2 linked regions of the Stegostoma tigrinum genome follow. The protein of the gene in region 2 interacts with the protein of the main gene of each other region in a biochemical or structural test. Links are inferred from orthologs where the notes say so. Each region holds a gene or a part of one and is shown on either strand. Other genes may lie near its edges.

Region 1 (5,084 bases), on a different chromosome or scaffold from region 2:
CTTGTCTCATTACTTTTCTTTCGCACCTTCCTTTCCCACCTATTATTTCTTTTCCAATCTTCAAATATCATTGAGTTATCTTAGATACTATTGACCTTATGACAACTTTGAGAGGTCACACTTCCAGAAATCTTTATGAACTAAACAATGCAGTCAAATATTTAATAAGATGCTCAACTGCAGCAAGATCCAGCTTATTGTCTTTCAGATCCTGTGTTTTACATATTTGTGTCAAATGTAGAATTATCCATTTTTTTTTCTTCAAATGTGTTCCAGTTGTAAACTGATCTTCAGAGTCCACTCAGATGGATAGGGATGTAATGTTAAAAACAAGCCTTGGGCTAGCCAATTAATTTTACATTACTGAGGCTCAGTCTTTCTTTCATTGTGGATTATTTGCATTTGTCGATGCTTATCTCTTTACAGAAACAATCCAGTTGATTTTTTTTAAGCCCATTTATGAAGTGCTTTAACATTTTAGGTTACAATTTGAATCCAAGCTGAATCTGAATTAGTACCCACCCTCAAGCATGGGTATAACTCTGATGTTTTACAGTTACAATATTGAAAGCGCAATGTAAAGTTGTCGCTTACCAATGCTGCAGTTGTAGCATAAATACCTTCTGATTACAATTCAATTTGATTCCCAGCTTGGAGCAAGAGCACTTTACTGAGTTGCATTAATGTAAATGCAGTGTCCAAAATGAGGAATAACTCTCAACAAAAAAGTGTATTCTCAATCAATACTTTCGAAAGGGAGCAGAATGGAGCAGTAATAAGTAATAGTCACATTTTGTGGATTAATAAGGGAAGCTGTTGTTTTGAGGCCATGAACACTTGTAAAATGAAAGAAGTGAAAGTTATTAGTTTCAGTGGTTTCCGTATATTAGAGCTAAACAGTTTTCTTTGAGTGGTTTTCTGAGTCTGTAGAAAGGCCGGTTGTCTCGTTGATTCTCACAGCAGATTAAACAAATTGGAAAGAGTTGGTGACTGGTGTTGATGGTGTACCCAGTACACACACACTAGATTTGTGCCAAATGAAAATTTCAAATGCCAGTGTTTTCTCCAGCTCTTCATGAGATGTTTTGACCAAGCACAGTTTTCTGACCGATCGTATTCTGTGAGCATTTAATTTTGTGTTAAGATGATTTAGTAATAGTCAATTGACATTGCAACCAACTGTTCTCCTCTTAATCTGTTTTATTTTGAAATCATTTTTAATCATGAGTAGCTGTTGAGAGAACGTGTGAAGTAAAGCTGAGAGTCTTGGTAGTTAAAGGGTTACTTTAAAAACAATTGTTTTGTCTACAACAGTAGACTAAAAGTATCCAGATATATATTCATATTTCCATCCCAGTTTTACCACTGGTAGATGTCAAGTGTTCCTGCTTTCTGTGCCCTATTGCTGTTGGGATGCACAATGTTATGATGATGGGTGGGAGTATGTCAATGAGACTGTGTAGTACCATCTGCTGGGAGAGCTGTGACTCATTGCAGTACTAGGGAACCAGCAGGCACTGCTTTTTCAGTGTCCATTGATTTATTACGGAGACTGACTTGGAATATGGCTTGTTACACAGAGATGTCAGGCATTGTAGAGGTATGTGGTTTTTTCCTTCTCCCAGTGCTAGCTGCCTCTAGGTCACTTGGTAAACAAGGGCATTAACACTTCCTTTTGACCAGGTAATCTTCCCGATAAACCTTTTGGACTGTTTATCTATACTGTTAGAGATTAATTATATGCCATGGAGCTGTAGCTATTCAAAAATCTAACTTGTAAAATAGCAGATATAAAGATTGTGAGTAATGCAGATAATTTTTCAGTTTTCAGCTTAAAAGTTGCAGTTATGACTTGATTAATGTAACATGAGGGTTTGAACTGTGTGTGCTTCTTTATGGTAAATTCAGAAAGCATAGAATATCCACACTTCAGTGTCAGTGCAGTCATCAGCTTGCACTTCATACGCTACTTACATATTGATCGGCTATTGTAATGGAATCTGCAACACTTAACATCCAGGAGCCCTATTTGGTGTTAGATTTGCACAGACACTACACCGTTGTTACCTTTTTACTGACTGACATTGCTAAAAAACATGCCAGTGTGAACTTTGAATGAAAACAGGATCAATCTGTCATACAAACCCTTCTAATGGATGAGTGGTCTGCTAACATCCCTTGTCATTTAGGTGATGTGATGAAAGGTGATCATTGCTGAGGAACATTGTTCAAGTTGATGCCTGTGGGAGAGTTTTAGAAGAAACTAGAAAACATTTTTAGTAAGTATGTGAACTGTCACAGTGGTGTTGAGTTTACCTCCAAGAGGGAATTGCGCCTGATGCAGCAATGTTTATGTTGGCTTCAGTGATATAAGCATTCGACATGGGTTAAATACTACTGGAAGATTCAAGAAATGTTTATTCATAATATAGATGTTATAGACAAAAATTGGTATGTAGGCTAATAATAACTATTTAGTTACAAAGATTAATGTGTGCTCTGCAATGAAGCAGTGATAATATTGCAGGCATATCTCTGGAAGATGCAATGTTTAATAACTGTGATACGAGCACAGCAATATTCTCCTGAGGATGGTACTTAACGTGGATAATTTGAGATGCACCTCTTCTGTCTATAAAGTGTTTTTTTTTGCACTGATTGATCTGTAGGGATTTGAGTGTAAATCTGTAATGGGCTGTCTGAGATATGGAAAGTGAATTTAGAATGTTTCATTGGTATTCTTCTGAGCCGCTGAGAGAAGTATAGTGTTGGAAAGCAAACCCAGATTTCAATTCCCCTGTCTGTTTGTCAGTACTGAGAATCACAAGATGGAGTGCTACAATTTTCCCAGTTCTGACTTCTGATCAGAAAGCTAATGTATTTCTGTGCCTACTCTGAGTGTTTCCTTAATAAATGAAGACAGGCTTCTGTCTCACTGCACATAGACTGGGGTCTGAATTATACATGAGGGATTGAATTGAATGTAGGTGACGTATGTCCAGCCCATTTGTACAATCTGATGGGAAAATTGTGCCACTTCTGCAGGGGCCCCATGTGCAATTTAAGCATAATCGGGCAGTTAAGTGGGCAGCATTGGTTATTCTGCAGATCATACCTTCATAAGGGCAGATACCCCAGCCTGAGTGCTGCCAGACAATCAAAGGCCAGTAGCCACTGACTGTGATGCTTTGCATCCTTCTCCAAGGGCTTTTGCTGGGTTCCTGGAGATGGGAGTGGGTGAAATCATAGACCATAGGGAAGGGCACTGGATGTGTAAGCACAGGGTGGGTGGCCCTCAGCTGGACTCCCCCACTTCCCTACACTGGCTCCCTCAATGCTTTCTAAATAAAAATCAGAAAATTGGTAAAATAGGCCTTTTGAGCCTAGACAACCGTTCAACAAGTTCTTGGCTGATCTTACATCTTAACACCTTAGTCCCATTCCCTCTTCATACCCCTTTAGCCTCCAGAAATTTTATCAACTACTTTCTTAATCATATTCAGTGACTTGTCCTGCATAGTTTTGTGGTACAAAGTTCCACGGGCTCACCACACCCTGCACAAATTCCTTCTCGTCTCAATCCAAAATAGTCTACTTTGTATCCTGAGATCGTGACTTGTTCTGGATCTCTAACCAAGAGAGAGATAATCCCTACACCCAGTCTGTCCAACCAAATTGGAATTTTTCATGTTGAATGAAATCTTCCCTAATTCTTCTAAACCTCAGTGAATTACAGGCCCAGATGACACAACCTTTCTTCTTGCAACAAACCTGCTCATCCAGGCAGTAGTCTGGTGATCCTTTTGCCGCACACCTCCCTGTGGTAATTATATTATTTTTTTTCTGTGAGACAACCAAAGATGAATGTAGTAATCCAAATGTGGACTCACCAAGGCCTTGGATAGGTGCAGGAAGATTGCCTTGCTCCTGTACTCAAATTCTTTTGCAAAGAAGACCAAGGTACCATTTCCCTTCCTAACTGCTGGCTGCATCTGTAAGCTGGCTTTCAATGGCCAATGCTCAAGGACACCCAAGCCCCTTTGTACATCGACACTACTCAATCTATCACCATTTAATTAATTTTTTGCTGTTTCCCACTCATGAATTTTATACTGTATCTGCCATGTGTTTGTCTACTGACTCAACTTGTCTAAATCACCCTGAAGTCTCTTTACATCCTCCTCACCATTCCCACTGCCACCTGCTTTTGTCATCCTTGGGATAGTGTCCTAGGCCCAACCATCTTCAGCTGCTTCAGCAATGACCTTCTCTCCATCATAAGGTCAGAAATGGGGATGTTTGTTGATGATTGTGCAATGTGCAACACCATTTGTGACTCCTTAGACTTTGAAGTAGCCCATGTCCAAATGCAACAAGATTGGGACAATAACCAGGCTTAGGCTGACAAGTGACATTCACACCATATAAATACGAAGCTATGACCACCACCAATAAGAGACAATCTAACTACAGCCCCTTGAAATTCAACGATGTTACCATCACTGAATCCCCTCCTATCAACATCCTCGGGGTTACCATTGACCAGAAACTCATTGGACTCACCACGTTAACGGAGTGGCTACTAGAGCAGGCCAGAAGCTGGGTTAACTGGGGCAAGTAACTCACCACCTGACTCCACAAAGCCTGTCCACCATCTACAAGGCACAAGTCAAGAGTGTGATGGAATACTCCCCACTTGCCTGGATGAGTGCAGTTCCAACTCAAGAAGCTTAACACCATTCACAATAAAGCAGCCTGTTTAATTGGCACTACATCCACAAGCATCCGTTCTGTCCACCGCCAAAGCTCAGTAGTAGCAGTGTGTACTATCTACAAGATGCACTGCAGACATTCACCAGAATCCCCTCTCAGCACTGCCCAAACCCACAACCACTTCTATCTAGAAGGACAAGGGCAGCAGATACATGGGAACACCACCAACCCAAGTTCCCCTCCAAGTCACTCACCATCCTGACTTGGAAATATGTTGCCATTCTTTCACTGTCTGTGTCAAAATCCTGGAACTCCTTCCCTAATGGCATTGTGGGTCAACTCACAGCAGGTGGACTGCAGTGGTTCAAGAA
Region 2 (5,084 bases):
TCACTATTAAGACAAACAAATACAATGGTATGGATGGAAAAATATAGGGAATACAATTTTGAAGATCAAAATCCAAATGACAAAGATGGGTTGTCTCTCAAAGTTAATTTGATTTTAGCAATGAAAACAAGGAGTTACCTGTAGAATGATGGCTGTTCTTTGATTCTTTAGTTGATCAGTTGGATTTAGGTCTTTTCTTGTGCCAGAGTTCTTCCTATTCAGTTTCTTACTTGGTAATCTCACGAAGAGAAAAAGGAGAGAAATGTTATCCAGTTGTTTCTAGGTATACTGCTTTTACAAGTCTGTATAATATTACACCTGACCAATCTGAGGGATGTCATCAATTTTTCCTCAACTCAAACTCCTTGCCCCAATGATGTAATAAACTTACTGGTCCAAAACCACCATAATCTTGTACAACATTAACATTTGATTTTTCAGATCATCAGGTGGGGCAGAATGTATGTAACTTCAACATTAATTCTTTCAGAATCATTGTTTTAGACAACAATGCCTTCTGCAGCTCAGTCCCTAATCTCCAGAATGTCTTCCCTAAAGGTCACCTTCGATTGTTTTACTACATTAGAGACACTTTGCAAATGCAAAAGCAAAATACTGAAAATCTTGAAAATAATATGCTGGAAATCTTTTAATTCCACTCCCGCACATCCCAGATGTCCAAGTTCTTCAAGGACCGCAACTTTCCCCCCACAGTGATCGAGAACGCCCTTGACTGCGTCTCCCGTATTTCCAGCAAAACATCCCTCACACCCCGCCACCGCCACAACCGCCCTAAGAGGATCCCCCTCATTCTCACACACCACCCCACCAACCTCCAGATACAACGCATCATCCTCCGACACTTCCGCCATCTACAATCCGACCCCACCACCCAAGACATTTTTCCATTCCCACCCCTGTCTGCTTTCCGGAGAGACCACTCTCTCTGTGACTCCCTTGTTTGCTCCACACTACCCTCCAACCCCACCACACCCGGCACCTTCCCCTGCAACCGCAGGAAATGCTACACTTGCCCCCACACCTCCTCCCTCACCCCTATCCCAGGCCCCAAGATGACATTCCACATTAAGCAGAGGTTCACCTGCACATCTGCCAATGTGGTATACTGCATCCACTGTACTCGGTGTGGCTTCCTCTACATTGGGGAAACCAAGCGGAGGCTTGGGGACCGCTTTGCGGAACACCTCCGCTCAGTTCGCAACACACAACTGCAACTCCCCGTAGCAAACCATTTCAACTCCCCCTCCCATTCTTTAGATGACATGTCCATCATGGGCCTCCTGCAGTGCCACAATGATGCCACCCGAAGGTTGCAGGAACAGCAACTCATATTCCGCCTGGGAACCCCTGCAGCCTAATGGTATCAATGTGGACTTCACCAGTTTCAAAATCTCCCCTTGCCCCACCGCATCCCTAAACCAGCCCAGTTCGTCCCCTCCCCCCACTGCACCACACAACCAGCCCAGCTCTTCCCCTCCACCCACTGCATCCCAAAACCAGTCCAACCTGTCTCTGCCTCCCTAACCTGTTCTTCCTTTCACCCATCCCTTCCTCCCACCCCAAGCCGCACCCCCATCTACCTACTAACCTCATCCCACCTCCTTGACCTGTCCGTCTTCCCTGGACTGACCTATCCCCTCCCTACATCTCCACCTATACTCTCTCCACGTATCTTCTTTACTCTCCATCTTCGGTCCGCCTCCCCCCCTCCCTATTTATTCCAGAACCCTCACCCCATCCCCCTCTCTGATGAAGGGTCTAGGCCCGAAACGTCAGCTTTTGTGCTCCTGAGATGCTGCTTGGCCTGCTGTGTTCATCCAGCCTCACATTTTATTATGCTACATATACACATATATTTATATAATAGATCAGTGAAACATTAGAACCTTGGTGACCAGGTAGACAACTTTAAATTGCTATAGTAAATTAGTGTACACATAATGGACATCACGGGTATTGCATTGGAGTTACGGAATATTTACGCAAACAAGTCAAGTTGCACTTCTGTCTGAAACAGTTAGGCTGCATTTTGCGATGTGAGTTTTAATGACTCCCCTGTAGGAAAGGAATAAAAACAGTGAAAAAGGTGGATACATCCACTTCTTCTTTTGTTACAAAAGGTCAGCAGAAACTGTTGTCTAGAGAGAGATAGTTAAGATGGTTGGGTTTATCTTTTTGTTTCAGAAGATCCAATTTAAGACTGATAAGAAAACTCCTCTTGGCTGTCGGGTTTTGTTTAGCCACTATAAAAAGCAGAATTTCTACCACAATCTAATTTTACTTCAGTCAGAAAGCAGGCATGCAGGTTTTAAGTATTTTGCTTTTGGAGTATAATAAATTAAAAGTAGAGATGATTCAAGTGCTTGCAAGTATTCCACGGTGACTCTTGCTGATATTGTATTCTCCGGTCAGGCATTGACTTGCATGGTTACCTGAGCTGCATTAGAAGAATGCCATCTTCTGGTCACAGCTTTGTAGAATACAGAATAGAATTGAATATCCTTTTATTGTCAAGCGTCTTGGAAGTACAAGAGTACACAGAAGTTTTTACAATGGCTGCCACTAAAGGCGCCATCCTCGGTACAAGCACTGAGGTAAAAATTTCATACGGAACAAGAATAAAAGGAATAGTTGTAGCATTACATACAGTGTCTGACAAAATAGGTTAGGAATCAGATCATTATAACATAGTTAAAGAACTCACATTACAGTCAGGTAAAAAAAATTCAAATAGCAGTAACTCAGCATTGTGGTCTGACTGTATGTGCTAAGCGCCTGTCCAATAATTATCCCGCTCTGCTCCAAGTTTCCAGTCCTCTCTGCACCGGCACACAACTGCGCCAAGATAAATTGTGCTGTGCCAGGACTCGTTCCCCTCACGCTGCACCAAGACTTGTTCCCCTCATGTCGCACCAAGACCCGTTGCCCTCACGTTGCACCAGGACCCATTCACCTCACGCTACACCAGGACCCATTCCCCTCACGCTGGACCGGAATCGTTCCCCCCGTCTTGTATCAGGACCCATTCCCCTTGCGCTGTACCAGAACTCGTTCATCTCCTGCTGTACCAGGACTTCTTCATCTTCCGCTGTACCAGGACTTGTTCTCCTCATGTCGCACCAAGACCCATTCCCCTCATGCTGCACCAGGACTTGTTCCCCTCACGCTGCACCAGGACCCATTCCCCTCACGCTGCACCAAGACTTGTTCCCCTCATGTCGCACCAAGACCCGTTGCCCTCACGTTGCACCAGGACCCATTCCCCTCACGCTGGACCGGAATCGTTCCCCCCGTCTTGTATCAGGACCCATTCCCCTTGCGCTGTACCGGAACTCGTTCATCTCCTGCTGTACCAGGACTTCTTCATCTTCCGCTGTACCAGGACTTGGTCATCTCCTGCTGTACCAGGACTTGTTCCTCTCATGTCGCACCAAGACCGGCTCCCCTCGCGCTGTACCAGGACTCGTTCATCTCCCGTCGTGCCAGGATTTGTTAATCTCCCGCTGTACCAGGACTCATTAATCTCCCGCTGTACCGGGACTTGATCCCCTCGCGCTCCACTGGGACCCATTCCCCTAGCGCTGCAACAGGACTCATTCCCCTCATGCTGCACGAGGACCCGTTCTCCTCGTGCTGCACCGGGATTCATTCCCCTTGCAGTGCAGTAGGAATTGTTTCTCTGAAAGCTGCTCCAAGGATTCCAGAGCTCAGAAGCCATCAATTTTGACTAGGTTATTTAAAATTATTTAAACTGGGCACGCTAGGTTGGGTGGCAATACTGCCTATCAGATGGATCTGACGACTGAGTAATGGTCACAGAAGGAAGCATGCTTGTGCAGGAATTGAGGACAAAAAGGGGAAAAGATGGGGAACATGAAAGAATATAAATCTGAATTGTTTTTGTTAGACAGAAGAAGGTTAAGAGGTGACTTAATAGAGACATACAAGATGATCAGAGGATTAGATAGGGTGGACAGTGAGAGCCTTTTTCCTCGGATGGTGATGGTTAGCATGAGGGGACATAACTTTAAATTGAGGCGTGATAGATATAGGACAGAAGTCAGAGGTAGGTTCTTTACTTAGAGTAGTAAGGGCAACAGTAGTAGACTCACCAATTTTGAGGGCATTTAAATGGTCAGTGGATGAACATATGGATGATAATGGAATAGTGTAGGTTAGCTGGGCTTCAGTTTGGTTTCACCTGCGATAGATGCAACATCGAGGGCCAAAGGGCCTATACTACGCTGCGATATTCTATGTTCTATGTTTTCAACCAATATGCCATGAGGACCTGTATAAATTGAGCATAAAATTTTGATTTTCATTACCGATGTACATTATTAAACAATGTTTCATCTCAAACAATATTCTTAATCAAAATTACATCTCAAAACTCATTAAAATTAATCAACGAATTAAAAGTGCAGGATCAGGATTTTTATTCTAAAATGTGAATATTCTGAATGCATACGGCTCAAGGGAAAAATTGAGATGACATAAAAAAGTGGGTGCGCATGGAACTGTTTGCCTCACTTTTAGAGTGCCATGTTACTCAATAGGTTGCAAACTACTGCAGTAGAGAATGACAATATAACAAGTATTCTTGAAATGTGACTACTTCAGAACATGGAGCTAAATTCAGTAGTATAATCTTTTCAAAAGGGATCGAAACAAGGAGAATTTTCGAGCAAGCTTGGCCTGCTGCAACAGTAGAGAATGATCTCTCTTTGATCTTCATTACCAACTTATATCCTTACTTACATAAATCCTTCTATGTGGATTTTAGTTTATTCCTTTAAGTAAGTATAACCATTGCTGAAAATTATTGAATAAACGAACCATTTATCTTGTTGAAAGCAAAACTCTGTGCTGCCAGTTATTTTCACATTGAAACACTTCGTAATAAAAAGGGGGAGTTGAAATGAACTCCATTTCACCAATTTATACTTTACATGTGGGGAGGTAATTGACACTGCCTCCATAAACCCTAACTTGGACCTTTCCTAACTGATATTCCTGCTACTAGAATTACTACACTTTAATCTGATTTTTAACCCTACACT

The links.
Region 1: the proteins of E3 ubiquitin-protein ligase XIAP-like (region 2) and septin-5-like form a complex in vitro, tested with the Homo sapiens proteins (4 studies listed by BioGRID, with this or other methods). The link is inferred for Stegostoma tigrinum from reciprocal best matches to the Homo sapiens genes XIAP and SEPTIN4.

Annotation. Positions count from the first base shown.
Region 1 is NC_081380.1:14,006,457-14,011,540, reverse strand, and holds the start of septin-5-like, read left to right. Parts: upstream 1-1,549; 5' UTR 1,550-1,564; coding exon 1,565-1,600; intron 1,601-2,189; exon of another isoform or gene 2,190-2,279; intron 2,280-5,084. UniProt on the Homo sapiens protein: Filament-forming cytoskeletal GTPase. Pro-apoptotic protein involved in LGR5-positive intestinal stem cell and Paneth cell expansion in the intestines, via its interaction with XIAP. May also play a role in the regulation of cell fate in the intestine.
Region 2 is NC_081368.1:29,300,960-29,306,043, reverse strand, and holds the start of E3 ubiquitin-protein ligase XIAP-like, read right to left. Parts: upstream 3,614-5,084; 5' UTR 3,349-3,613; intron 239-3,348; 5' UTR 139-238; intron 1-138.